Linked DNA regions of Macaca mulatta. Each later gene encodes a partner of the first gene's protein in a complex. Links are inferred from orthologs where the notes say so. Each region holds a gene or a part of one and is shown on either strand. Other genes may lie near its edges. The genes, in order: SART3, CCNT1, USP4 and USP15.

Evidence for each region.
Region 2: SART3 (region 1) and CCNT1 share a complex: the UniProt entries of both Homo sapiens proteins name them as parts of the 7SK snRNP complex. The link is inferred for Macaca mulatta from reciprocal best matches to the Homo sapiens genes SART3 and CCNT1.
Region 3: the proteins of SART3 (region 1) and USP4 are in contact, whole or in part, in a crystal structure (PDB 5CTR), measured with the Homo sapiens proteins. The link is inferred for Macaca mulatta from reciprocal best matches to the Homo sapiens genes SART3 and USP4. Residues at the interface, in NP_055521.1 of Homo sapiens: Asp437, Ser438, Ser439, Lys440, Gln490, Arg493, Glu494, Trp496, Asp497, Met500, Thr501, Ala505, Trp511, Tyr514, Lys529, Arg533, Cys537; in NP_003354.2 of Homo sapiens: Met24, Thr27, Leu28, Ser53, Trp54, Glu123, Gly125, Leu126, Phe127, Val128, Lys129, His130, Cys131, Lys132.
Region 4: the proteins of SART3 (region 1) and USP15 are in contact, whole or in part, in a crystal structure (PDB 5JJW), measured with the Homo sapiens proteins. The link is inferred for Macaca mulatta from reciprocal best matches to the Homo sapiens genes SART3 and USP15. Residues at the interface, in NP_055521.1 of Homo sapiens: Ser438, Ser439, Lys440, Glu443, Gln490, Arg493, Glu494, Trp496, Asp497, Met500, Thr501, Ala505, Trp511, Tyr514, Arg533, Cys537; in NP_001239007.1 of Homo sapiens: Ser23, Leu24, Asp48, Trp50, Gly121, Met122, Phe123, Val124, Lys125, His126, Lys128.

What each region holds. Positions count from the first base shown.
Region 1 is NC_133416.1:115,667,736-115,674,585, forward strand, and holds part of SART3 (spliceosome associated factor 3, U4/U6 recycling protein), read right to left. Parts: intron 6,836-6,850; coding exon 6,711-6,835; intron 2,755-6,710; coding exon 2,599-2,754; intron 1,862-2,598; coding exon 1,723-1,861; intron 1,024-1,722; coding exon 916-1,023; intron 209-915; coding exon 131-208; intron 1-130. UniProt on the Homo sapiens protein: U6 snRNP-binding protein that functions as a recycling factor of the splicing machinery. Promotes the initial reassembly of U4 and U6 snRNPs following their ejection from the spliceosome during its maturation.
Region 2 is NC_133416.1:55,879,232-55,886,831, forward strand, and holds the start of CCNT1 (cyclin-T1), read right to left. Parts: upstream 4,072-7,600; 5' UTR 4,010-4,071; coding exon 3,849-4,009; exon of another isoform or gene 3,620-3,848; intron 785-3,619; coding exon 703-784; intron 1-702. UniProt on the Homo sapiens protein: Regulatory subunit of the cyclin-dependent kinase pair (CDK9/cyclin-T1) complex, also called positive transcription elongation factor B (P-TEFb), which facilitates the transition from abortive to productive elongation by phosphorylating the CTD (C-terminal domain) of the large subunit of RNA polymerase II (RNA Pol II).
Region 3 is NC_133407.1:112,775,811-112,783,438, forward strand, and holds the start of USP4 (ubiquitin carboxyl-terminal hydrolase 4), read right to left. Parts: upstream 4,762-7,628; 5' UTR 4,733-4,761; coding exon 4,632-4,732; intron 31-4,631; coding exon 1-30.
Region 4 is NC_133416.1:69,546,899-69,554,530, reverse strand, and holds the start of USP15 (ubiquitin carboxyl-terminal hydrolase 15), read right to left. Parts: upstream 4,062-7,632; 5' UTR 4,061-4,061; coding exon 3,972-4,060; intron 1-3,971. UniProt on the Homo sapiens protein: Hydrolase that removes conjugated ubiquitin from target proteins and regulates various pathways such as the TGF-beta receptor signaling, NF-kappa-B and RNF41/NRDP1-PRKN pathways.

The DNA.
Region 1 (6,850 bases):
AACACAGAATTAGTAAAATTAGAAAGGAACTTGGAGACAAATAGCCTCTAGCTGGAAAGGTACATCAACCAGGAAATAGTACAGACCAGGAAATACAACTGGGCAAAACCACAGGCTGGGGCATACTTACGCTCTTCCACCTCCTGCTTCAGATACTCCAAGGCACGAGTAAAGGCGGCCCTCAACTCCTCCAGCTCTTTACTGGAGTCTAGTGGAAAGTACAAAAAAAGGCTTTAGGAAACCACATAGCCTGGCTTTGTTTGTTTTGTTTTTTATCCTATGCTGAAACTGCCCAGAGACCCATTATGTACCTGGCATCATGCAAGGGACACAGAAATAAAATTGCCAATTCCTGCCCTCATCACATAGTCAGGGAGAAAGAAATTAGAACACAGTAGAGTATGGACAGCATGGTGAAAAAGGTGAACACAGAGTGCTGTGTGGGGGGAGTCTCCCCCAGCTGGGGTGACACAGGCAAACAGAAGAATGGCTAAAGGCTACCTGTATGAGGTGACAGCTGACATGAGTGTGCAAGTACAAGTTAGGGGTTTTCTGGCTGTTTTGGGGGGGGACATGAAGGGGCAGAGGATCCCACAGAGGTACAAACATTTTTCTAAAACACAGCAGTCTTATTTCAAGAAGTATTTAGGATAAATAAAAAGACCAGAAAAGAGAAATGAGAGCTAAGACTAAAGAGGCTGGCAGAGCCAGTATAAACCATTACTCTCTTGCTTTACAATCCACAGCATGACTTGTTAAGATAGAAATCACTAGGATTTCTGGGGGAAAAAGTCACCAATGCCTAGTCTACATCATTTGCCCAATCACAATGTTATCTGGGGAACTGGGACATCTCGCCAAAAGTTGTGTTAAGAACATGTTCAGCTCTGAAGTGAAAAACATGCGCTTAAATACCTTGTTTGAAATCAACCCTTCTCCTCAGGTAATCAAGGTATGCCTGCCAAATCTCCACATAATCAGTGGCCTGGATGAAGCCAGCATTCAAAGCTTTCTCGAAGGTTACTGGAGTTGGAGAAAAAGTCAGGATTTGTTACCAATTCAAATGGAAGCTAATATAAAGTTACTGCATTCTACTGACTATAAAACACTACATGGGCCGGGCGCGGTGGCTCAAGCCTGTAATCCCAGCACTTTGGGAGGCCGAGACGGGCGGATCATGAGGTCAGGAGTTCGAGACCATCCTGGCTAACACGGTGAAACCCCGTCTCTACTAAAAAATACAAAAAACTAGCCGGGCGAGGTGGCGGGCGCCTGTAGTCCCGGCTACTTGGGAGGCTGAGGCAGGAGAATGGCGTAAAAACCCGGGAGGCAGAGCTTGCAGTGAGCTGAGATCCGGCCACTGCACTCCAGCCTGGGCGACACAGCGAGACTCCGTCTCAAAAAAAAAAAAAAAAAAAAAAAAAAAAAAACACTACATGACTTTAAAGACTAACAGATGCAACAGGATGAAATGAGCTAGACAGGAATGTTGAAGAGAGAGAAAAGACTACAACTTCTTAGAAAATGCAATGAATATTAGCATGTTAAAAAGCTCAAAGAAGCCACAAATATAACCAGTTCATCTCTCAGAGCCCTTTTTGTCACTACACTCCATATCCCAAACAAAACCCCAGGCAACACTGATGTAATGACTTTGTCACCGCTCTCTGTTTCTCACTTGGGACAAATAGCTTAGAAGTTCTCCCACAAAAACATCCGCACCAGAAATTACTTGATGATCAACTCCATGTCTCTCCATGGCCAAGAGGTACCGACTCCATAAGGCAACTGTCCAGGGGCAGTTTCTAACAGCGCGGTTATGTACAGATAAAACCAAATCCTTTACTTTCAGTTGCCGATCCTATGATAAAGAATTCCAGAATCAGGAAATTAAACTTTATTAAGAATTCACCATCAACAAGACATTGCCAGCACAACCAAGTGATGAAAGAAATATCCTTATAAACGTCTCTTGGGACCGGGTTTCCTCAAAAAAAAAAAAAAAAAAAAAAAAAAAAAAAAAAATTCACTAGGGGGAGTGGAGGAAAAGGACAGAAGCAACTTATAGGTTAAAAGAGCCTTAAGAGACGTCAGCCAACCCTACTGGATAGACCTCATTTGGATCCTTTTATACATATACACTGAAATATTTTATATACACATATTGAAATATTTACCAATGAAATATCATTTCTGGATTTGCTTCAAAGTAACACATAAGGGGCAAGTAGGTGAGACTACAGATCAAAGTAAACTAAAGCTATAATTGTTAATAATTATTGAAGCTGGGTGGGGGGTACAGGAAGTTTCATTTTACTTATCTACTTTTATATGTTTACATTTTTTCCATAATACAAAGTTAAAAGAAAAATATCAATTTGTTTTAAGTCCTCAACACAGACTATATGCTAATTTTACTTACAGTTAGTGACCATTTTAAAATAACCTGAAACACTAAAACTTCCTAAACAAGTTGGCAAAGAGGAGAAAAAGTGGATGGAGGAAAAGCAAGAGCAGGGCCATATGCAACAAACTCCTGGCACTCTAAGTAGATTATAAATTGGCAAAAATAAAATGAAATTAGAACAGTGATCTTACTAGGTACTGACTGTAACGGATCCATAAGTCTGGGACAAGGCAGTTCTCGACCAGGGCGCGCTCAAAGATCAACTGAATGCGAGCAGGATCGCCAATTTTCATCTCAAAATCGATATATGCTTGATATTCTGACAGCCTTGGTGCCTCTGCCTGCAACTAGAGTACAGGAAAATTGTATTAAAGTTGAATTGAGTTACTGGCAGGAAGCACAACACATCTGCAAATAAAATAAATTTTGGCAAAACTGGCTACAGTAACTAAGAATCGCCAAATCCTCACTCTCAGAACCACTCCACTATGGCCTCCACAACTTCTTGAGCAGAACAAGAGTCTTCTCATCTGGTCCAAAGTGCCAGTTCATGGCAGTCATAACAAAGGCTCCATAAACCCTTTTCTAAATCCATTCCTAGACCACAGGGAATTTAAGTGGCCCATCAATCGTGAACTGAGTGAAAGAGCAACACAACACCTTTGCCAGTGACCACTGTTAACCACCCTTCCAAACCAGAAGTCATGTTCTTGGGCTACTGAGTCGAGTTAATACAACCAAACTGGAAAATTGTGGTGCCTGATGCTATTCAAGTTTCTTATTCCAAATATCAGTTCCTGGAAGAATGTAGGTAAATGCAGAAAATGGAGGCAGCTGTGCTGAATGTTTAATGATCCAAAGACATACGATCAAATTCTTTTTAGAAAAAAATCTTATTCGACATGTTTTCTCTTCAGGCATATTTTGCTGATGGCCATGACATAATGGAATGATTGGAGTTTTGAGAAGAACAGGTACATGCAAATCATTTACACATGAAAAAGAAAGGAAGGAGTAGTGCAGAAGAGTAAGAAAACACGCAGGCTCCGTACTCAGAAAGGGGATGTTTCACAGCCTCCATTTCTAGTAACGAGAAAGAATTAGTTACCCAGACACACTGTACCATTCAAAACAACTAAAACTACTAAATTAAATATAGTATCTTCTTAAAATTCATCAACAAACTGGCAAAGAAACAAGAAATTCTAAGGACTAAGGACAAAATCTAAATGAGGGTGGCAAGCTAAGTAAATGTTAACCTTTTGCTGGCTTGACATACATTAAGAATTTGATCTTCACAATTCTATTGTTGGCAAAGAAAGATAGAAAAAACAGTCAAAAAGCCCAAAAAACCTCAAGCCAGTCCACACATGGACCTACTGCAATGAAATTAGAGGACAGTAAACCAAATCAATGAGATCTTAAAAGCAGTCAGAGAAAAAACAGTAACTACCTCTGAAGAAGCAAGATTTATACAAACCGCTGACTTCTGAACAGCAACAACAGACATCAGAAGACAGAAAGATACAATCAATTGCTGAGAACACACTGTCTGTCCAGAACTCTTTTGTTGTTGTTGTTGGTCTAGAATTCTATAGCCTAAGAAAATAATTTTCAAGAAGGGAAGTAAAGACCTTTCTGAACAGAGAAAATCTGTTACCAGCAAATCGCCCTCGCAGGGGACTCTAAAGGTCACGTGTTGAAGACACTGGACAAATTTATAATATTATTATAAAGCTTTACAGAAAGACAAGATGTAAGTAGCAGAAACCTATACTATGTTCATAGATTGGAACATGTAAATTCTTCCCAAATTCCCCAAACTGATCTCCAGGTTCAATGCTATTCCAATTAAAAAAAAAAAAAAAAGATTTTAAAAATATAACTACAAAAGCTGATTCTAAATCTGATGGAAGCATTGAAGGCTAAAAAAAAAAAGCCAAGATACTCTTGAAGAGGAACAAGGTGGATGGGACTCACCCTATCCAAGAGCAAAACATTATAACTCTCATCATTACAACAGTGTAACGTAAGCCAGTGGGACAGAATAGAAAATCCAGGAGAAAGACCCACACATACATGGACAGCTAATCTATGACAGATGTGGCACTGCACATCAGTGAGGGGAGGAAGGAATAATCAAACTCAGTACCAGAACAACTGGTTCTCCATATGGAAAAATGAAACCAGACCCAGTCTCATACCACTTAAAAATCAATTCCAGGTGGATGAGGCCCTAAATATGAAACAGAAAACTATAAAATTGTTATAAGAAATTAGAGTTAACTAGGGAATATTTTTCAAATAAGCACAACAAAAGCACAACCAAAAGGTAAAGAATTTTAATCTAATTGGATTTATCACTAAGAACTGTTCATCAAAAAACACCATTAAAAAAAAAAAAATGAAAAGGCCGTCACGGTGGCTCCCGCCTATAATCCCAGCACTTTGGGAGGCCGAGGCAGGTGGATCACCTGAGGTCAGGAGTATGAGACCAGCCTGGCCAACATGGCGAAACCCCATCTCTACTAAAAACACAAAAATTAGCCGGGCGTGGTGACGAGGGCCTATAATCCCAGCTACTAAGGAGGCTGAGGCAGGAGAATCGCTTGAAACAGGGCGTGGGGGGCGGGGGAGTTGCAGTGAGCCGAGATCACGCCACTTTACTCCAGCCTGGGTGAAAAAGCGAAAACTCCGTGGGTGGTGGGTGGGGTGGGGAGGTGAAAAGACAAACAACAAACTGGGGAGAAAATCTGCAACACATACAGCCTAAAATAAGACTTAAGACTCAGCATTCCCACAAATCAATTAGAAAAAAGATACATCAAAAGGGAAATGGGTCAAAGACTTTTTTTTTTTTTTTGAGACAGAGGCTCGCACTGTTGCTCAGGCTAGAGTGCAGTGGTGTGATCTCGGCTCACAGCAACATCCACCTCCCAGCTTCAAGCGATTCCCCTGCCTCAGCCTCCCAAATAGCTGGGATTACAGGCACCAGCCACCATGCCCAGCTAATTTTTTGTATTTTTAGTAGAGACGGGGTTTCACTATGTTGGCCAGGCTGGTCTCAAACTCCTGACCTCGTGATTCACCTGCCTCGGGCTCCCAAAGTCCTAGGATTACAGGCGTGAGCCACTGCGCCCGGCCCAAACACATTTTTTTAAAGAAACAGGGTTTTGCTTTGTCACTCAGGCAAGAATGCAGTGGCATGATTACAGCTCACTGCAGCCTTGACCTCCTGGGCTTCACCTCTGGAGTAGCTGGGACTACAGATACACAGACACGTGCCACCAAGCCCAACTAATTTTTTTTTTCTTCTGTAGAGACAGGGTCATGCTACGTTGCCCAGGCTGATCTCAAATTCCTGGGCTCCAGCAATCCTCCCGCCTTCGCCTCCCAAAGTGCTGGGATTATAGGCATAAGCCACTGTGCCCAGCCTGAAGACTTTAACACGCACAAAAACTTGAATGGCCAATCCACGTGAAAAGATGCTCAACTTCATTAGTAACCAGGGAAATACAAATTAAAACTACAATTTCAAATTCATCAAATTAAGTAGAATTTAAGTATGTCCAATATCCAAGACTGGCACAAGCAACAAGAACTCTCAGATAATGCTCACAGCAGTGCAAACTGATAACCTGGAAAACACTTTAACAACACACTATGATCCAGCAAAGTCATTCCTAAGTATTCTAGAGAAACTCTTTTTCATGTGTACAAGGAGACACACACAAGAATATTCAGAGTGGCACTGCTCCTCCTCCTAGCAAAAAATTGGAAATGACCCAACTATCCAGCAACATAGATAAATACATTGCAGTATACAGACAACTTTACAGCAGTGAAAACAAATGCACTGGAACTATACTTAGCAACATGAGTAAAACCCAAAAGCATGTTCAATGAAAATAAAATATACAGCATGATTCCAATATATAAAAGTTCAAAAGCAAGCAAAATTAAATATATTAATTAAGGATACTTTCATAGCTTGTAAAACTATAAAGAAAAGCAAGGGAATGATTATCACAAAAGTCAGGAAAGTGATTACCTCTCGGGAGAGGGAGGAGGAGGCAATCGGAGAGGGGCACATAGGAGACTTCTAAGGTACTGGCAATGTTCTATTTCTTAACCTGGGTGGTAGGTACATGGATGTTCACTTTATTATTAGTATGTAAACTGCATGTATACATTTATACACTCTATATATTTCACAATAAAACATTGTAAAGATACTGTTCAACTTGCAACTATCCATCAGGGAAAGGTTTGCAGAGAGACGTTTACTAAAGCCAACACTTACCAGTGCTTCTTCATAGGGTTTATATTTCTCCAGCTGCTGTAGTGCTTTGTTATAGTTCTGAATTACCGACTCTGGTACTGGGTCTTCTGACCATTCTTCATACTCTGCAAATGTGGCCTCCATATCTATTGAAAGATGGA
Region 2 (7,600 bases), about 60 Mb from region 1:
CTGCACTCCACCATGGACAACAGGGCAAGACCCTGCCTGTCTCCCTGCCCCAGCAAGAAAAATAAAGCTATACGTAAATTACACATGATTTCCCCTTTAATGTTACTCCTCCAATCTCAAAATGTTGACTTTAGATGTCTGATAATCTGTTTTTGGGGGTTTTTTTGGGGACAGGGTCTCACTCTGATGCCCAGGCTGGAGTGCAGTGACTCGATCTTGGCTCACTGCATCCTCAACTCCCTGAGTTCAAGCAATCCTCTTGCCAGCCTCTGGAGTAGCTGAGACCACAGATGCATACCACCACACCCAGCTACTTGGTTTTTGTTTTTGTTTTGATATTTTGTAGAAATTAGGTCTCATTATGTTGCCCAGGCTGGTTTTGAACTCCTGGGCTCAAGTGATCCTCCCATCTCCGTCTCTCAAAGTGTGGGATTACAGTTGTGAGCCACTGCACCCGGCCTAATCTACTTTAGAGAATTGACATGGATGTACTATAAATCCACTAGACAAGCAGACACTTAACAGGAAAAATGAAAAGCTGGATTCAGAACAGCAACACAGCGCATAATGAAACTGATCAACCCTAAATTCTAAAGTTCAAGTCACAGTTCAGTAGCAAAGACCAACCACAAATGGAATAGGTAGTTGGAATCAATCACAAAAGGATTACACCATAAAAAAAAAAAAAAAAATTATACTTACATTTCCAGGAAACTGTGTGAAGGACTGAATCATGTAGAATCGATGCATGTATACTATAGCAGTGTTGATAGTCAATTGCGAGCTGAAGAGTTCAAGTTAAGATCCAAAAACAGGCAGGTATAATTCTGGAAAAGATAACCTCTATCTCCCTCCCAAAAGGATGAAATGGCCAAGCAAGTAGATGCTACTAAATGAAAATCATACTTATCTCTCCAAATCAAAGAATATGTCTGTTTTCTTTCACCAAATTACTAATCACCAACTGACACTTATTACAATGGCTTACACATAACAAATATTTAATATAAATGTACTGAATGAATAAACAAACATATCAAGATGCATGGATCTAGACAGAGTTTTAAAAAAACTATATAAGGCGGCCGGGTGCGGTGGCTCACTCCTGTAATCTCAACACTTTGGGAAGCCGAAGGGGGTGCAGATCACCTGAGGTCAGGAGTTCGAGACCAGCCTGACCAACACAGAGAAACCCCATCTCTACTAAAAATAGAAAATTAGCTGGGCGTGGTGGGGCATGCCTGTAATCCCAGCTACTCGGGAGGTTGAGGCAGGAGAATCGCTTGAAATGGGAGGCGGAGGTTGCGGAGAGCCAAGATCACGCCATTGCACTCCAGCCTGGGCAACAAGAACAAAACTCCATCTCCAAAAAAAAAAAAAAAACCAATTTATAAGGCCTGGCTGGGCACGGTGGTTCACACCTGTAATCCCAGGACTTTGGGTAGAGGCAGAGGCAGGTGGATCACCTGAGGTCAGGAGTTTGAGACCAGTTTGGGCAACATGGCGAAACCCCTCCTTGACTAAAAACACAAAAATTAGCCAGGCATGGTGGCAGATATCTATAATCTAATATGATTTACAGCGCCCACCCTGATCTGGCCCATAGGTATGTCTCCACTACCTCTCTCACCTGCTAAACTCCATCAACTAAATTACTTTCTTTTTTTTTTTTTCAGACAGAGTCTCGTTCTGTCACCCAGGCTGAGTGCAGTGGCACAACCTCAGCTCGCTGAAACCTTCACCTCCTGGGATCAAGCAATTCTCCTGCCTCAGCCTCCCAAGTAGCTGGGACTACCGGCTGGGCCACCACGCCTGGCTAATTTTTGTATTTTTAGTAGAGATGGGGTTTCACCTTGTTGGCCAGGCTGGTGTCGAACTCCTGACCTCAAGTGATCCACCCGCCTCAGTCTCCCAAAGTGCTGGGATTACAGGCATGAGCCACCACACCCGGCCTAAATTATTTTCAGTTCCACTTCTCTCTGGCAACCAAGCCTTCTCATGTGGTGATCCACGGGACAGGAAACATCTGAAATGATCTGATAATTCATTAACTGAAGAGGAACAAAAAACTTGTAAATGCCTTACTTCTAAAAACTTCAGCAGACAATATGGGGTAGAGAGATGATGCAGTCCCAAATTACAACAGCCTTTTTTTGAGGGGGCAGAGTCTCGCTCTGTCGCCCAGGCTGGAGTGCACTGGTACCATCTTGGCTCACTGAAACCTCTGCCTCCCAAATTCGAGCGATTCTCCTGCCTTAGCTTCCCCAGTAGCTGAGATTATAGGCACTCGCCACCAAACATGGCTAATTTTTGTATTTTTAGTAGGGACGGGGTTTCACCATTTTGGCCAGGCTGGTCTTGAACTCCTGGCCTCAAGTGATCGACCCGCCTGGGCCTCCCAAAGTGCTGGTATTACAGGTGCGATCCACCGCGCCTGGCTGACAACCTTAATGACAACACACATACAAAAAGGAAAGCGTTTTAAGGATACACTGAAATAGAATTTCGAACAAAAAGATTTACTCCGTACTGATAGGATGCTTAGGAAACACATCTGGACATCAGCAGGAAACAAACTGGCGATAAAAAAGACACCCATTTTGAGATGCACACACCCTTAAGATACAAACATTACTGTCAGCCACACATTTAAATAGAAGCTGCACCCAAGAAAATTTTCACACACAGAGTGGAAAGAACTTTAAAACTATACAAGTTTTCTCCACCACAAAATAAGTGTATTTCCTGACAAACAAAAATATGTGGGAGAGGATACCTCATTTTTTTTAAAATTTTTTTTTCTGAGACGGAGTTTCACTATTGTTGCCCAAGCTGGAGTGTAGTGGCGCGATCTCGGCTCACTGCAACCTCCACCTCCCGGGTTCAAGCGATTCTCCTGCCTCAGCCTCCTGACTAGCTGGGATTACAGCTGCCCGCCACTAAGCCGGGGTAATTTTTTGTATTTTTAGTAGACAGGGGTTTAATTATGTTGGCCAGGCTGGTCTCGAACTCCTGACCTCAGGTGATCCACCCGCCTCGGCCTCCCAGAAGTGCAGAGATTACAGGTGTGAGCCACCGCACCCGGCCGTTACCTCATTTTTGAAATAGAAAGAAAATGAAATACACACCACCACTCTAAGTAACTTAAGGACCCAGTATTTTGTAAACGATTTAAAACATTAGATTCGTGGGTAACCCCTACAAACGTAAACTAACATCTTTCCTCTGAAATTCTATAAAACAGCAGCTACTAATTGAGCATCTTAATGCAAAGCATTGTGATGGACACAGAATCAAACACAAGAGGTATCATCCCATTTTATAGACAAGACGACCAAGAATTTGACAGGTCACTTAAACAGCTAGCAGATGAGGAATGGATTTTGGACCAAGGCTGAGGCATTAATTCTAGACCACCCTTTATAAGACTTTCAGGTACTGAATTTCTCGAAATTTACACACTAGGTTTCGGAAGCAGCCCTCAACAGAGAAACCTCTGCCAGACCCAAACCCCTAGGGCACAGCGGAAAATGAGAAACTTAACGTCACCAGAGCCGATCAGAACACAACGAAGAGAGAGTTGGAAGGGCTGGTTAAAACACGAAGCCGGGAAGGATACGAATGCCCAGCAAGGTTGGTGGCACGGGTGAGCGAGCGGGAAATCAACTCCGCCTCGCTTCCCTAGCGCGAACTGAGTTTCAGCCCGCCCCATCGTGGGCTCTCCCAACTAGACATCCAGCTTCTGCCCACCTTCTTCCCCACTTTCGTCCCCCACCAGAGCCTGAGACCTAGACGCCAGAGCATGGCGGGACCAACTCAAAGGCCGAAGGCCTAGGCCGCAAGGATACACGTTAAGACGCTGCCCCATGTCCTGGAGCAGATTGGCCGCCTGCTGGCGATAAGAAAGTTCTTTATCTGGGTCCACACCAAATCGACGGGATGGGCTATTTTCCAGCTGTTCTCGAGTGAAATACCACCGTTTGTTGTTGTTCTTCCTGTCTCCCTCCATAATGCTTCAACCAGAAGGCAGCGGCGGAGGCTGCAAACACTTCCCAGCGTCACCTAAGAGGCGACCCACATCCGCTGTGCGGGGGCAACTGCGACTTGACGAACTTCCGCTAAGCGTCGACCGCCGGGTTGTGACTCTCTTCCGTAAAGAAAGCAAAAGTCAAAGGACCTACTTCCGGAATGCACCTCGCGACACCCCGTAGCCGAGTTAACAGCCAATATGCGACGAGAAAAAAACCTTGAGGCGAGGACGCAGGCGCGTCACGTGACCCTTGGGAGGTGGCGTGGGCTTAGAAGTTCTCGCTTAAAAACCATGAATCTTCCCGCGAGAACCGGATTGAGCGTTGGCGCCCGGGGTTAGGTTGTGAGGTCGCAATTGTAGTGGTATGAGGCGCCCGCCCACGCGCCGCTTGGTGGTTCTTAGGAGAACTTAGTTTGTGACTGCAGTGGTGATATAAAATGGGGCAGATGGACCGCGCGCGGTGGTTCACGTCGGTAATCTCAGCACTTTGGGAGCCCGAAGCAGGCGGATCACGAGGTCAGGAGTTCGAGACCAGCCTGGTCAATATGGCGAAACCCCGGTCTCTACTAAAAATACAAAATTAGCCGGGCGTGGTGGCGTGCGCCTGTAGTCCCAGCTACTCGGGAAGCTGAGGCAGGAGAATCGCTTGAACCCGGGAGACGGAGGTCGCAGTGAGCCGAGATCGCGCCACTGCACCCCAGCCTCCAGCCTGGGTGACAAAGCGAGAGACTCCGTCTAAAAAATAAATAAAATAAAAATGGGGCAGATGAACTTGAAAGAGAAAGTAGGTGAGGCTGTCAGAAACTGAAAAACAGAATCAAATGGTGGGGCTCTTTCGTATATGGGAACATAAAGCAACTAGAAGGCTGTTACGTTGTTGGTAGCAATGTAAAATACGACAACCCATTTGGAGAGGTCGCTTTAATGTGTAGCCAAACTCATGAAAACATTCTCACGTTTCGCCGCAGTGATCCAACTTAAAGGAATAAAATGAAATTAATAACATTAAGAGCTTACATGTCCCATGCACAATACTGACTTAAATATACTGTTTCATTTATTCAGCGGAACTCTCAAGAGGTAATTTTTAAGTACGTTTGCTAATGGGTGAACTAATACTGCCCCTTGAGTGTGAACAGCCTCCACCACTACCCCTCACTTGCAGAGATTAGCAAATTCCTGCCCTCTGTCAAGATATTTCCCAGCTCCTTTGCCGGCGCGGTGGCTCACGCCTGTAATCCCAGCAGTTTGGGAGGCCAAGGCGGGCGGATCACCTGAAGTCCGGAGTTGGAGACCAGCCTGGCCAACATGGTGAAACCTCGTCTCTACTGAAAATACAAAAATTAGCCAAGTGTGGTGGCGCACGCCTGTAATCCCAGCTACTCGGGAGGCTGAGGCAGGAGAATGATTTGAACCCGGGAGGCGAAGGTTGCAGTGAGCCTAAATCTAACTGCACTCCAGCCTAGGCGACAGTGCAAGACTGCTTCTCAAAAAAAAAACAAAAAAAAAAAAACCGGATATATCCCAGCTCCAGCGTCTGATAACTGTTTGGTGCTGGCAAGATAGTTAACCTCTCTATGCCTCTTTTCTTTGATAATACCTATGTTTTAGATTGTGAAAGGGAGTAAAGATTTAATGAGTAAAAAGTATTTATAATAGTACCCAATACTTAGGAAATATTCAGTAGCCCTTAATGTTATAATATTTGTTACATTGTATTGAAATTGAAGGCAAGAGCAATGCCTTCATTTTTGTATGGCACCTACCTAGTAAAGTCCTGGCCGTAGTAAATAGTCCCTAAATCTTTGTCAGATAAATGTGCAAAACACCCACAACACAGAAACTGAGGCTCTGGGAGTTTGCCCTCACTACACCACTAATAAGTGTAGATCTTAAATCTAATTCCGTTGGTCTTCCCATTCACGCAATTCCCATTCACTTCCTGCTTTTCTGGAACCACGTTCAGTTTACCTTGATTAAATTTGGGTAATTTTAGATAGATTTGGATAATATTAGAATCCTGTGTCTTGCTTTGATAATATTTTGGGTTTTGTCATTTCTAGGCATAGGTGATCTTACTATGTTTGATTGTCATTCATTTTCAGAAGTGTTTCCATTTCAGGTCACCTCTGCCATATACTGCCTGTAGTTAGTACTAACTCCATTTTACCCTGGAGAAATTGAGGTTCAGGAAGATTTAAATGACTTACTTCTGGTTATAAGGGAAAATAACTTAGGATTTCAAACTTCTTCCCTCATAGACTCTTTACTATTAACAGAATAAGCACTTATAAAATAGATTTTTTAGTAGAATAAGCACTTTTTCAGTTATGTAGTCATGTATGTTTTCTTTTAAACAGCTGTGTTAGTCCATTTTCATGCTGCTGATAAAGACATACCCGAGACTGGGCAATTTACAAAGGAAAGAAGTTTAATGGAGATCTCACAGTTCCATGTGGCTGGGGAAGCCTCACAATCATGGCAAAAGGCAAGGAGCAAGTCACATCTTACCTGGATGACGGCAGGCAAAGAGAGAGCTTGTGCAGGCAAATTCCCATTTTTTAAAAAACCGTCAGATCTCAGGAGACTCATTCACTATCGTGATAACAGTGCAGGAAAGACCTGCCCCATAATTCAATCACCTCCCACCGGGTTCCTCCTACCATATGTGGAAATTGTGGGAGTTACAATTCAAGATGAGATTTGGGTAGCGACACAGTGCCAAACCATATCATTCTGCCCCGGCCCCTCACAAATCTCATGTCCTCACATTTCAAAATACAGTCATGCCTTCTCCACAGTCCCCCAAAGCCTCAACTCATTTCAGCATTAACTCAGAAGTCCACAGTCCAAAGTCTCATCTGAGACAAGCAAGTCCCTTCTACTATTAGCCTGTAAAATCAAAAGCAAGTTAGTTACTTCCTAGATACAATGGCGGTACAGGCATTGGGTAAATACAGCCATTCCAAATGGGAGAAATTGGCCAAAACGAAGGGGCTACAGGCCCCATGCAAGTCCAAAATCCAGCAGGGCAGTCAAATCTTAAAGCTCCAAGATGATCTCCTTTGACTCCATGTCTCACATCCAGGTCACACTGATCCAAGAGGTGGGTTCTCATGGTCTTGGGCATCTCCACCCCTGTGGCTTTGCAGGGTACAGCCTCCCTCCCATCTCCCTTTCCAGGCTGGTATTGACTGTCTGTGGCTTTTCCAGGTAAATGGTGCAAGCTGTTAATGGAGCTACCATGCTGGGGTCTGGAGGACCATGGCCCTCTTCTCACAGTTCCATGAGGCAGTGGCCCTGTAGGGATTCTGTGTGGGGGCTCCAACCCTACATATTTCCCTTCTACACTGCCCTAGCAGAGGTTCTCCATGAGTGCCCTGCACCTGCAGCAAACTTCTGCCTGGACATCCAGGTGTTTCCATACATCCTCTGAAATCTAGGCAGAGGTTCCCAAACACCAGTTCTTGACTTCTGTGCACTCGCAGGCTCAACACCATGTGGAAGCTGCCAAGGCTTGGGGCTTGCATCTCTGAAATCACAGCCCAAGCTCTGTGTTGGCCCCTTTCA
Region 3 (7,628 bases), on another chromosome or scaffold:
TGCTTGAACCACCGGCTGTCAATAAGATACCTAGAGAGAGAGACAAAAATTTACTGTAGCAGAAAAGCTGAGATTATAAATGTCTGCAGCTGCTTCCTTAATCTTTTTTATGGTCCTTCCACTTGAGGCATATGCAATCCCCACTAAAAAACACTGTCACAAGAGCAGGAGCAGGGCCTAGGCCCCACATGGCACAGAGAGTCTGGCCCCAGGGTATGCATCCATTAAGTGAAATGATTGTTCAAAGAGTGAATAAAAGAAAGAAAACAAGTGACTTCAAAATGCTTATTTAAATGGAGTCTTTCTTTTTTTTTTTTTTGAGACCGATACTTTCTTTTTTTTTTTGAGACCGAGTCTTGTTCTGTCGCCCAGGCTGGAGTGCAGTGGCATGATCTTGGCTCACTGCAACCTCTGCCTCCTGGGTTCCAATGATTCTCCTGCCTCAGCCTCCCAACTAACTGGGATTACAGGCGCCCACCACCACGCCCAGCTAATTTTTGTATTTTTAGTAAAGATGGGGTTTCACCATATTGGGCAGCCTGGTCTCGAACTCCTGACCTCAGGTGATCCACCCACTTCGGCCTCCCAAAGTGCTGGGATTACAGTGCCTGGCCTTTTTTTTTGAGACAGAGTTTCTCTCTTGTCACCCACGCTGGAGTGCAACAGTGTGATCTCGGCTCTCCGCAACCTCCACTTCCTGGGTCCAAGCGATTCTCCTGCCTCAGCCTCCCGTAGCTGAGATTACAGGTGTGTGCCACCACGCCCGGCTAATTTTGTATTTTTAGTAGAGACAGGGTTTCTCCGTGTTGGTCAGGATGGTCTCAAACTCCTGACCTCAGGTAATCTGCCCACCTCAGCCTCCCAAATTGCTGGGATTACAGGCGTGAGCCACCGCACCCTACCACAAGTCATTAATTTCATAATGATCTTTATAGAGGTCCCAGTCTAGGCAGACAGTTTGGTTACACTGTTTTACTTGACATGAACAGCACTAAACTAATGCTCTTTCTGAAAATGGGTTAGAAACACCATCCACTTGTTTTCTTTTAAGGACCAAATGAGTTCCAAAAATGTACACACAAGGCCAGGCACAGTGGCTCACACCTATAATCCCAACACTTTGGGAGGCTGAGGCGGATGGTCACTTGAGCTCAGGAGTTCAAGACCAGCCTGGGCAACAAACCCCATCTACTAAAAATACAAAAATTAGCTGAGTGTGGTGGCACATGCCTATAGTCCCAGCTGCTCGGGAGGCTGAGGCACAAGAATCACTTGAACCCGGGGGGACAGAAGTTGCAATGAGCTGAGATCACGCCATTGCATTCTAGCCTGGCTGACAGGAATAAAAACCTGTCTCAAAAAAAAAAGTATATAACATGCGTGTACATATATAAATATACACATACACATGTACATATAATAGCACTTAGGTATGTTCATCTTGTCAAAAAGCATTAAGTTGTGCTTCATATTCAACTTACCACTTTTTTACTTAAATGTAAGCAAATGTGGTATTTTATTTATCTATTTATTTCCTTAGAGAGAGGGTCACCCAGGCTAGAGTGCAGTGGCACAATCATAGCTCTCTGTAGCCTCAAACTCCTGGGCTCAAGTGATCCTCCTGCCTCAGCCTCTGAGTAGCTATGACTATAGGTACATACCACCATGCCTGGCTAATTTATTTTTTTATTTTTATTTTGTAGAGGCTAGGTCTTGCTATGTTGCCCAGGCTGATCTTGAACTCCTGGCCTCAAGTGATCTTCCTGCTTCAGCCTCCCAAAGTGCTGGGATTACAGACATGAGACATTGTGCCAGACCTATTTATATTTTTAAAGTATCACTATGCTGGCTGGGAGAGGTGGCTCATGTCTGTAATCCCAACACTTTGGGAGGCTGAGGCAGGTGGATCACGAGGTCAGGAGATCAAGACCATCCTGGCCAACATGGTGAAACCCCGTCTCTACTAAAAACACAAAAATTAGCCGGGCGCGGTGGCTCAAGCCTGTAATCCCAGCACTTTGGGAGGCTGAGACGGGCGGATCACAAGGTCAGGAGATCGAGACCATCCTGGCTAACACGGTGAAACCCCGTCTCTACTAAAAAATACAAAAAGCTAGCCGGGCGAGGTGGCGGGCGCCTGTAGTCCCAGCTACTCGGGAGGCTGAGGCAGGAGAATGGCGTGAACCCGGGAGGCGGAGCTTGCAGTGAGCTGAGATCCGGCCACTGCACTCCAGCCTGGGCTACAGAGCAAGACTCCGTCTCAAAAAAAAAAAAAAATAAATAAATAAATAAATAAAAACACAAAAATTAGCCGGGCGTGGTGGTGCCTGCCTATAATCTCAGTTACTAGGGAGGCTGAAGCAGGAGAATCGCTTGAACCCGGAAGGCAGAGATTGCAGTGAGCTGAGATCATGCCACTGTACTCCTCCAGCCTGGCAACACAGCGAGACTCCGTCTCAAAAAAAAAAAAAAAAAAAAGTATCACTCTGGGGTTTTACAATTAAAACAGAATCTCTGTGGAGCAACAAAGCATCAACAATTATATTGGTGCATCCTTAAAACTGTATAACCAACAAATGTGAGAGGAGTTCAGGCAACTTCCCAGAGGTCACAAGGATCCATAAACACATCCGTCTCGAAAATGCTATTTTTCTTCCAAATCCCTTGAGCAATACCTTCCATACAATTTTACTGTATGATTTTAGTCTTAAACTTCCTCTGCTTCTGCTGAGTATTCTTTATGAGCCCTATACAGGTTAACTTGAGAAGTACCTCTGCTAGGCCAGGCGTGGTAGCTCTAGCCTATAATCCCAGCACTTTGGGAGGCCAAGGCGGGTGAATCACTTGAGGTCGGGAGTTTGAGACAAGCCTGACCAAAATGGAGAAACCCTGTCTCTACTAAAAATACAAAAAAAAATTAGCCGGGCATAGTGGCGCATGCCTGTAATCCTAGCTACTGGGGAGGCTGAGGCAGGAGAATCACTTGAACCCTGGAGGCACAGGTTGCCGTGAGCCGAGATCACGCCATTGCACGCCAGCCTGGGCAACAAGAGCGAAATTCCTCAAAAAAAAAAAAAAAAAAAAAAAAAAAACCCACAAAAAAAGTACCTGTTTACTCTGACTTTCACAAACTGGCTAGCTCAAGGTGAATACATAAGCTGTTATCTGTACTCCTCATAACCCCAATTTTTCTATCCTCCAGCTCAATTCCTCTGTAGGTCATCACCACAATGGTTTCTTTTTTTTTTTTTTTTTTTTTGAGACGGAGTCTCGCTCTGTCGCCGGGGCTGGAGCGCAGTGGCGGGATCTCAGCTCACTGCAAGCTCCGCCTCCCGGGTTTACGCCATTCTCCTGCCTCAGCCTCCTGTGTAGCTGGGACTACAGGCGCCCGCCACCTCGCCCGGCTAGTTTTTTGTATTTTTTTAGTAGAGACGGGGTTTCACCATGTTAGCCAGGATGGTCTCGATCTCCTGACCTCGTGATCCGCCCGTCTCGGCCTCCCAAAGTGCTGGGATTACAGGCTTGAGCCACCGCGCCCGGCCCACAATGGTTTCTTAAAGATGGGTAACACTCGGGCCGGGCACGGTGGCTCCCACCTGTAATGGGAGGCAGAGGCGGCTGGATCACAAGGTCAGGAGTTCGAGACCAGCCTGCTCAGCATGGTGAAACCCAGTCTGTACTAAAAATACAAAAAATTAGCTGGGCATGGTGGTGTGAGCCTGTAATCCCAGCTACTCGGGAGGCTGAGGCAGGAGAATCGCTTGAACCCGGGAGGCGGAAGTTGCCGTGAGCCGAGATGGCGCCACTGCACTCCAGCTTGGGCAATAACAGTGAAACTCTGTCTCAAAAAATCAAACAAACAAAAAAACAAGATGGGTAACACTCAATCATACTAAATGCAAAGTCTAGCCTTAGTTTTTGTACTACACAATAATACCACCCAGGAATCTCTCCAGTAGTACAAAGTATTGTCCCCTCCACCAAACAATCTGTTAAGATGTCCAATAACTCAGCCTGGGTCTTCTAAATTCTGGACTCCTCATCTTCTATCTAGCTCCAGGACCTAGGCTATCCCCCTCTCCCACTCCGAGATACTGCTGTCACAAATATTTTTGACACTTGCTACCAAAATAATCTGGGGCTCTCAGACATTTGTTCAGCTTCTGACCTTGACATCTGTTGGCAGTTTACAAGTTACAAAGTACTTCTGATTTTCGCCTCAACCCACTGAGGGCGGAGAGCCAAATATTGCTATCCTGGTTTTAACAGTGAGGAATCCAGGTCTGTGACACCTTCGCCCAAGGTCACACGGCGAGTCCTCATGGTAAAGGGCTCTCCCCACCCTCAGGGTCCCCGCCAACATTCCCCTTCTCCACATCCATCCCCCTAGCCCCCGCCGGGCCCACCCACTGGGGCTCCAAATGAGCCGAGGCGACCCTCAGGCCCCGCCTGCGCTTTCCCAGAGCTGATCCTGGAGTTCTCCCGAGGGGCAGGTGTCAGGCTACTCTTCCAGGGTCACTACATACCATCCCCGCCCAGCCCCTACTGTAGCCGAGAAAAAGGGGGCTGGCCTAAGGGCCAGATACTCGGCCCCTGGTTCTGCACAGAGGAAGAGAGAGCCGGATGCTCACCACTGCGCGCCGCGTTGGAGTGTGGTCCTCATTAAGGCTCCAAGCTCCGACTTCTGAGTCTCCGCATCCGGTCGCTCACCGAAGCCTCCACCTTCCGCCATCTCGTCCGCGGCCCCGGCCCAGCCGGCCCGGACATCCGCCCCGCGCGCGGCGTGCTATAGACCGCGCCCACGCACGCACGCACGCACGCTCGCGTGCCCGCCCCTGCCCCACCTCGTGCCGCGGCCTTCGGCTCCTGCAGCCGCTGTCTTTTATCCCCTCCAGTCTCGCGCCACTTCGCTCACCGGCAAACAGTGGAGCGAAAAGGCAGATGCGAGAGGGGTGGGTGGGGAGCAGCAGCTGCTACTTCGTCCCGCCCTGCCGCCTGCTACGCGGTCGTCGGGCGCCCCTTCCTCTGCTCAGGATGGCGCTACAGGATGAAGCTCTGTTCAGCCCGCCGATCTCAGGGAGTCAGACAGCAAGCCCACGACCCATGGGGCACCCTAGCCCGGCCTTCGAGGTTATCCTGGTCCTAAATAAATGCAGGCCAGGTGCGAGAAGCCCCGTAGTTAGGTCTGTTCATTCTCACCCCTGCCATTCCGCTTTCAGCTGGAGGCCTTAGGCGAGTCAGCTGCCCAAACGTGGGATCCGGGCTCCTGCTCCAGCGGCCCTAACAGGGATTTCGGGAAGTACCACGTGCATCAGCGCCTTGGGACTAAGACTGAACGGTGTGCTGTAGTTATTAACAGTCGCCTTAAACAATCTGGACGCCAGAGCCACCTGGCCCACCTGAGAATTCCGTCAGCTCTTCATACTGAGCTACTTGCCAAGCAGCCACAGAGGGGCGATAGCAACAGGGGAAGGAGAGGTATTCCACATTAGTTACCCAGGCATGTACTTAGTTCCTGGAACAAGATACAACGTCCTGAACACTGTGTTTTCCAGTCGCCCCGCTCACACAAACACACAACCCTCTTCCTGGAGGGAGAAATAAACCCAGAGGAAAGAGGAAGTCAGGTCTAGATGAGTCTCCATACACTTGTCTAACAGTTCTTGTCCTCAGAGAAAAATAAGACCTAGTTCCTGCCCTCATAGAATCTAGTGGAAGAGTAGAGATGTTTCAGAAATAACCTCAATGCCTAGCAGTATGTGGTAAGTGCAATTAAAGGGTGTGAACCAGGCCAGGTGCAGTGGTTCAAGCCTGTCGTCCCAGCACTTTGGAAGGCTGAGGCGGGAGGATAGCTTTAGCCCAGGAGTTAGAGACCAGCCTCCGCAACATGGCGAAATCCTGTCTCTACAAAAATTAGCCGGGAGGTGGCGCGCGTCTGTGGTCCCAGGTACTCGGGAGGCTGAGGTAGAAGGATCCCTTGAGCCCAGGAGGTCGAAGTTGCAGTGAGTCGAGATGGTGCCACTTCTCTCGAGACTGGACGGCAAAGTGAGACCCTGTCTCAAAAAAACAGTAAATACAAATAAGGGGTGTGAACCGGCCAGGCGCGGTGGCTCACGCCTGTTATCCTAGCACTTTGGGAGGCCGAGGCAGGCAGATCACCTGAGGTCGGGAGTTCGAGACCAGCCTGACCAACGTGGAGACGGAAATGTCCTCTCAAAAAAAAAAAAGTGCTGGGCGCCCGGCAGGGCAGTTCATGCTTGTAATCCCAGGACTTTGGGAGGCCATGGCGGGCAGATCACGAGGTTAGGAGTTCGAGACCAGCATGGCTAATATGGTGAAACCCCATCTCTACCAAAAATACAAAAAAAAGTTAGCCAGGCGTGGTGGCGCATGTCTATAGTCTGAGCTACTCGGGAGGCAGAGGCAGAAGAATTGCTTGAACCCAGGAGGCGGAGGTTGCAGTGAGCCAAGATTGCACCACTGTACTCCAGCCTGAGCGACAGAGTGAGACCCCCTCTAAAAGAAAAAAACAAAAAAGGCCGGGCGCGGTGGCTCAAGCCTGTAATCCCAGCACTTTGGGAGGCCGAGATGGGCGGATCACGAGGTCGGGAGATCGAGACCATCCTGGCGAACACGGTGAAACCCCGTCTCTACTAAAAAAATACAAAAAACTAGCCGGGCGAGGTGGCGGGCGCCTGTAGTCCCAGCTACTCCGGAGGCTGAGGCAGGAGAATGGCGTAAACCCGGGAGGCGGAGCTTGCAGTGAGCTGAGATCCGGCCACTGCACTCCAGCCTGGGCGACAGAGCCAGACTCCATCTCAAAAAAAAAAAAAAAAAAAAAAAAAAAGGGTGTGAACCAAAGGCTGTAGAACACCAGGCACAACCCCTGCTCTCATAGGAAACCTTTGACTTGAGTAACATTTGGGTGTGGTATTGAAAAAAAATGCTGGCAGAATAAAGATGAGGATGCATGTAACAGGAGGGGAGACTCAAGGGACCAGAAGAGAATTTCTGGAACAGGCAGGACAGTTTCAGAGAGTGGGGATTAGGCCAGTTGAGCCGGGCACTACAACACTACTACAACCTAAGGGGATCTAAAGCTAGAAAGGAGGCCAGACAGACCATATATCCTGCCTTAAAAGGCAGGCAGGCATTGTAGGAAGTTTTGGAGCAGAGACAAAATGACTGAGGGTTCTCAGACACAGAACCATTAGGACCCTCTCACTATGGAGGTGGCTGTGAGGGAGAAGAGGAGAAACAGATGAGCCATGTCTATTTTATTTTTTTATTCTTATTTTTCTACCCTATTCCTGTTGAAAAGATGAGCTATGTTTTGTGTCAGGGGTGAAGGAAGGGGAACTGGCCCAGTGAAAATATGGTAGGTCATTTGAACAGATTTACTATTTTTATGTTGTGTTTGGCCAACTGAAATTAATTTACACTCCCTGGGACATCCATCACACACCATCTGATAAGAAAGGCCTCTTGGCAGTTGGGTAGATTAGTAGGGGAAAGTAAATGTGGAATTAAAACTGCCTCAAATAACCACATAGCAATTAATCCCCTGTAGATAAGAGTTACCACCACATGATGATTCTACATCTGCAGAGCCAACCCTAACAAGTCCC
Region 4 (7,632 bases), about 46 Mb from region 1:
AAACCCTGTCTCTACTAAAAATACAAAACTTAGCCAGGCGTGGTGGCCTGTGCCTGTAGGCCCAGTTACTCAGGAGGCTGAGGTGGGAGGATCACTTGAACCCTGGAGGTGGTTGCAGTGAGCTGAGACCACACACCGCACTCTAGCCTGGGCAACACAGTGAGAGTGTCTCAAAAGCATTTTTTTCCAAAGAGAGAATTTTATAACCCAAATGAGCTACAAATTTTCTTTGTAACTCATTAACTACCATACTTTAAATATGTTCCTAAAATAGTCATATGTACCTTAAGCAAATTATCTTTTTGTCTCATCAGAAGAAACTACCACGTATCTGAAAATTGTTTTAAATTCATCCTAAGCTATACAATTCTAGTTCATTTATCTCTTTCCGATAGTTCCTAAACTCTAAACCTTGTTCATGGTTTTCTGATCTCTTGTTGGAATTGAAATACAGATCAACAAATATCATTTTCAGACTGCTTTACTCCTTATACAAATCAGTGCTACCTTCATGGTTTTTAAAAAGGTATTACTGGCCGGGCGCGGTGGCTCACGCCTGTAATCCCAGCACTTTGGGAGGCCGAGGCGGGCAGATCACAAGGTCAGGAGATCGAGACCACGGTGAAACCCCGTCTCTACTAAAAATACAAAAAATTAGCCGGGCGCGGTGGCGGGCGCCTGTAGTCCCAGCTACTCAGGAGGCTGAGGCAGGAGAATGGCGTAAACCCAGGAGGCGGAGCTTGCAGTGAGCCGAGATCACGCCACTGCACTCCAGCCTGGGCGACAGAGCGAGACTCCGTCTCAAAAAAAAACAAAAACAAAAAAAAAAAGGTATTACTCTCTTGTATTAATTTTGATTTACTTCTCAATATAAAGTCTAGAACCAAATACATCATAAAGTATGTTTCTCTTCATCTCACACTTGTGTAACTTATTTTCATCTCTAGAAAATCAGATTTTTGATAAAAATCACTTACTGCTTACAAATAAAGAGAAACTGCAGTACTTACACAGAATCAAGTAAATCTTTATACTTGCCTAGGTATGGACGTTAGTTACCCAAGTCACCATGAGACAGTCATTATCTGCAAAGTACTCAAGAGCTAATAAGTGAAATTTATTCACTGCGATGCATTTGACTATAACTTCAGACATCTGTATTAAACTTTCAAGAATAAACTTATGGTAAGCCCACCACTTTTTCTCAATAGCCCAGTCTTTCCTAGACAGTTACATACTATATGCCACGACAATACTCCATATGGTAAATTTCAAAGAACCTGATTCAAAGATTAAAAAAAGGTATTAAAAGGAAAAACAACTTTCTAGTGAGTTCCAAAAACATAAACTAAATTAATACATATCCTGACCAGTTCTGTACTTGTAAGTTCATCATCAAATTCATACTTATCAAATTATTCTCTCTAAAACTCTGAATCAATTTTTTGTTCTATACTACTTTGTTTTTGAACAGGTTTCACTTGCTAATTTGCAAATAAACTGGCTTACAAATAAATCAAACTGGTTTCTGCAACTCCCAGTACCTTCTTTCTCTCTCAGGTTTTTTCCTTTAAGAGAAAGTTAACGTGAGGATAAACTTGCACAATCTGCTTTTATCTAAATATGTGGTCCTCAGTTTACTTTTATTTAAAATAAAAGCACTGAAATGACTCAAATTTATGAGCCTCTTGTATTCAGTCGTGCTTTATACTTGTAATACTAGCATTTTGGGAGGCTAAGGTGAATCACTTGCAGCTAGGAGTTCAAGATCAGCATGGGCAATATAGTGAAACACAGTTTGTACCTATGGAGCTCTACACACACACGCACATATATAAAACAATTTACATTAATTTTGTCAAAAAGCAAAAATATACTCATTTGAAAATACCAAACTTTATAAAGTTAAACGCCCACAATGCACATATTGCTCCTATCATCCTGTAGTGTCAACACCAATTACTCCATATACAAAAACGTGACATTAATGAGACAATAATACTTATATTTTAACTTATAGACTTAATAGATTTCTATTTTAAGGAAATTCACTTTTTAAAATAAGGTGGTAATAGGTTGGGTGAATTAAGAATTTTTAAATGTTCTTTAACTTACAATAGTGAGCAGGGACTTATTTGTCATACCACAAGCCAAGGTAAACATGGGTGTCCTAGGAAATGTCCAATTTCCCCACAGTAATAAACATCTTACTAACATTATAATAAAAACAGTAACTTTCTTTTTTTTTTGAGATGGAGTCTCACGTTGCCCAGGTTGGAGTGCAGTGGCCGGATCTCAGCTCACTGCAACCTCTGCTTCCTAGGCTCAGGCAATCCTCCCACCTCAGCCTCCTGAGTAGCTGGGACCACAGGCGTGCCACCATGCCCAGCTAATTTTTTGTATTTTTGTAGAGACGGGGTTTTGCCGTGGTGCCCAGGCTGGTCTCGAACTTCTGAGTTCAAGTGATCCTCCCTCCTCGGCCTCCCAAAGTCCTGGGATTACAGGCGTGAGCCACCCTGCCAGGTCAAAAATAACTATTATTAAGTCACTTGAAGATTCTATTTTTTTGATACAATGAAACAAGTATATATTTACATCCTTAGGGATTTCTATCGTATACACATAGTATACAGCCTACCAAAAAAGAAAAAAGAGACTAAGACTTAGATCAAGGTTAAATTATGGTCCTAAATCTGCCACCTATTAGCTTAACTGAAAATGATCCCAGTATCACAGCCTTTTGTCAAGAGTAAAGAGCAGAAGGTAACTAAAATTTAGTATCTCATAAACATAAAATTCTTAAGATATTAAAACGAATCAAGATAAAACCTTTATAATAAAATACTGTCCATTTTACAGAAGAGACTGAGGTGCAATGATTTAAATTAACTCTCCTCAAAGTCATACTGCAAGTTGAGTGGTGAAACTGTGACATAACTCAGGTCTAAATCTTACTGCTCCTTCCACTATGCCATAGTGAAACACTCTATAAATTATATACTACTGTTATGGTAACAGTGGGAAGTGAAAATATTTTTTATTATAATGAAGAGGCACATTATCCTTCCCCAAAAATAAGGAATTTTAAATTATGTTACATATTCACATATTTAAGTTATTCTAGATGCCACTGGATATGGCCGACAAGTGTGAAAATGTCCACATACATCCTTCAGTATTATAAATATATATCCTTTGGTATTTTACAAGTTCGAATATTAGCAGTTAGTTAAGCCTCAAGTGGACTTATCAACTTTTTGCAGGCCTACGTTATTCTTCAAACAGAAGGGAAGGGCTGCACATCTAACAGAAACGCTGCCGGCTTTTATCAAGCCACCACTAAAGCACAAGACCACGTGGTCTCTCATAAGCCTAAGGTTCCCTACTCCTCTCCCTCCTTTGACAAGGAACTGGAAACTAGGGTTTCTTTCTCTTATGTGGGGCACTGACATGCCACCTGTGTAGTACAGACCGCAAACATCCTGCAGCCTGCCTCCCGGAAGACTACAAGAATCAGAATAAAAGGGAACTTGGACGCCGACAATTCTAGGAAAGGAAATGAACAGAGAAGTAAAGCCGGTGAGATCATGATAAGCCGCGGCACCGGGACCTGTCAAAACAGCGTATATGAGACTCAAACCAAACCACTATAACCTATCATTCGAGAAGGCCTGAGGTGGGAGCGGCACTACGGAAGGAAGGAGGAAGAAGAGAACCGCACGAGTCAGTGCCGCCGCCGCCGCCGCTCTCCGGACACCTTTCAGCATGCCCTGGCAAGCCACGAACCCTGACCCTCATCTAGAGTCCAACCTTTGCCCTAACATTTCAGAAGCAGCCAAAATCCTGCTACCCCGGCGGCCGCCGCCAGACCTGCCCGCACCTGTCACCAGCGAAAGACACCAGCTCGCGGCTCCCGCCCTCTTCTCCACTATCCTCGGGCAACCGCAGGCATCTCAACCCCTTTCTCTTACCAGGTGTCCCCTTTCCGGAGCGAGGTTTTGAGCAGCGTCGCGATGTCAGACCGCTGGGTGTCCAGATCCGCCGCTCCGCCTTCCGCCATCTTCTTCCACTAGCGGTAGGGGAGGTGGCAGCGACGGCGGCGGCACGCCCCAGAGCATTATGGGAATGGCGTCCCCACGGCCCCTCCCAGTCGGCCGGTCGAAACCAAAAGACACCGGGAGCGGGGGTGGTCCTCGGGACAAGAGGAGGCCCCGGGGGCGGACTAGGTGCGCGGCCATGGTCTGCTGCCCCCCATCGGTCCCCGCCCGTTCAGCATCTTGCCTCGGCCTCCTCTGGCTCGGGACAGCCAGGTTTTAGCTCTCCTCGCCGCCGAGGGCTCCGGCGCTCTCTCGCTAGAAGGATGCCACCGCCCTGTCCTCCCATCCTCGGCGTTGCCTTCCCCTCCCTCTTTCCCACTGACGCCTTGAAAACCCTTATTTGCGCATTCACTCACGCCTGGGGGTGAGGTAGGGTGGGGCGGGGGGGCGTGGGGACGGCTAAGATATGGCAGAAAATTTAGCAGCTCCGCGACTGGGCTTTTCGTTAAAAGTAGCAGAACCCAAGCTCGGTGAATACGGGCACACACAAAAAACATTCCGAAACCGAACGCTTGGTCTCCATGCCCTTCCGGGGTTCCTTCCAGCGCTCTTACTCCCATTGTAGGTGGGGACCCTTTATAGGCTCTTTGTGACGCCTCCCCAGGCACACCCAGACGACTAAGCTGCGGTGAAAAACATGTCCCAGTTCATCGGTGAACATCGAGTAGAATATGGACATTATTGAATAATGCCAGATACTAAAGGAAGAAAACGTGAGAGAAACCCTCTTCTTTATACAAGAGAGTAACATTTTCTTAGCCCCATCTTCCTGTGGTGCCGTACACCTGAAATGAAACTAGGTATGTCTTTCATTTGAAGTCAACGATTATGTTACAAAATAGAAAATCGAGTCGCTTAAAAAGCAAATGCCAAGGTCACACAGCAGGTGGAGAGGTAAGTGGAGAGGCTGGTTCAAGAGCCCACGTGCTATACAGTACAGCACACTCATTGCCTCTCCTTATGAAAGCCTGGACTAAAATGTAAACTCCTTAAGAGCTGGAACTGGGTTCATCTTTTGTTTTAACCTCTGTATACCTGGTGGTTAGCATAGTACTACTGGACATGTAAAAATCACCTAAATATTTGTTTAATAAATGAATTGTGGCAAAATTACTTAAGTATTCCCGAGCATGATGTCCAGGGGTTTGATTTTAACATACCATTTGATGTGAAAAGTCTAAAAGATGGGCCAGAATCCCTGCATCATTTCTCTTGTTTCCCCATTTTAAACCCTAACTCATTTGGTGAGAATGCAATGAAGAAGGTGTAGTTACGCTAGTAGAAAGTGATGAATCCTTCCAAGTGAAAGTAGTGTACATTCGCATTATGATTTGTGTATATCAGTATTATGATTATGATTGCTTATTTCTGCATCATAATAATATTTTGCATTATCATGCCAAGCTTGAATTGAGAGTTTTAAAACAACTTTCAGTGACTGTTATTTCTGGCTTTTCTCCTGACAGGTTAAAAGACTGAGAGTTTCTCTAACCACGGCTACCCTCTAAAAGTCACATTTCCCCCCTTTTTCCAGTCACTCTCTGAAAGAGAACAAAGTAATTTTCTGAAGGGAAGCTGCAGAATATGGAAAACATATATTAGAGCCACATGGACATAAATTCAAACCTCACTTCAACCTTTAGCTGCAAAGTTCTTACCCTTTAATCATAAAATTGAGTATAATAATACCTACCTTAAGGGATTTTTATGAAGATTAAATGAAACAATTTGTGTTTATTGCTTGGAATGTAATAGCCATTCAATGAACACTAGTATTGTTTATTGATGACAGGGTGAATTTTACAGTATGTAAACTATACCTCAAAAAAGCTATTGAAAAGAAGTGTTAGGGGTTTTGAAGGCAAAACTGTGCTCTCCTTCATTTTATAACATAACCAAGTAGCAATAAATCATTCATACCCTAATGTCCAGTTTCCCTTAAGAGAAAATGCATTTTTGAAGTGTTGACACCTACAACCTTACAGTGAAGTAAAATAATATTTTCTTCACTTGCACCATGCTCAAGGCAGTAAGTTAACTGGATATAGATGTGTACATTTAATGACCATTTGAATTATACATCAGATTTATGGAGCCATTTTGTAGACCTAACTGACTGCCATCAGAGTCAGGAAAGAGATAAAATTATAGTATTTTATTTAGCAAGCACTTACAGAGTGCCTAGCATGGTTCTAAACACTTTAAAGTACTAACTTAATTCTCACAGCAGTCACATGATATAGGTACTATTATTATTTCAAGTCTAGAGATAAGGAATTGAGGCAAGTAAGTGGCAGAACCTAAATTGAAACCAGGCAGTCTGGCTGCAGAATCTGGAAAGTTTGGGTAAACTTCTATTTTTCTATTGACCTTTATTATTTTGTTTATAGCAATCAACATTTTAGAGATCTCAGTTGATCAATTTATGGAAATTCTGCTTATTTTACTGGTGCTTCTCTCAATTATGAAGAGAAATAAGATATTGTTCATAAATTGGTTAAAGTCCACATCCCTACTGAATAATTAAATAGATAAATTGATGAGAAAAGCTACTTCACCTTAATCACAAATAATTGAATATAAATCAGGGATTATATCTGCTTATTTAGAATGAATGTCTTCACTGATGCATTCCTTAACATCTGATGAATGTACAGTTTGCTCGGTGATTGTTATTGCCTTCTCAGACTCTGTGTACCTTTCTTGTCAATTTAAAACTTAACCTAGAGAGTTGAGTATGCTGAGTACTTTAGAAATTAGACTAGATATGAACAGGCTGGACCTCTTAAAGTCACAGTTGGTTGTGAAATTAGAGATTCTCTAGGAAGGATTCCTTTATCCTTTAGTAATTCCAAACCTCTCTGCTTCCTGATGTTTAAACAATTCCTTTAAGAGAGGTTCTTTTACTCAACAATTAAGAGATGGGACTTCAAATGTAAATACTCCAGGAGAGAGTCAGGCTTAAAACTGAAGTGTCAAAGAGAGCCAGTTTTCAGCTTGGGGTGAACCAGAGAAAAAAGCACTGCATTTTGTAATACAGTTTAATGGAGGAATGTACAAAGGAGATTTCCAAGATAAGTTTTGCCTATTTCATAATTTTGTATGGGACTGGCTACATGAGCCAAAGGGAAAAATCTGCCTAAAATTTGAGTGGACTTAGCAAATCTCACACACACACACACACACACACACACACACACACACACACAATCAGCACATCCCATAAAAGAACAATGTTTGATGACCTGGCTGTCTTTGTTTCTCAATTCTTCCTGTCTTTGACATTCAGGAACCACTATTTCAGTTTTTCCTTCTCCTTGTCCTTCCTCTACAGTTATTCCCGCCCACGACCCTACCACTCCCTCATTCTTACTCACCTCTCTAAACCTTTCATTCTTTTATCTTATGTAATTGTATAATTCTCATCTCTCTTTACCAGCTCTCAGAGCAGCTAAAAGGCAGTGGAAAGGCGGGGGAGTAGTGCAAACACCAAAATAGCATGTAGTAAAGTGCTTAATCTGTTAATGATATTTTG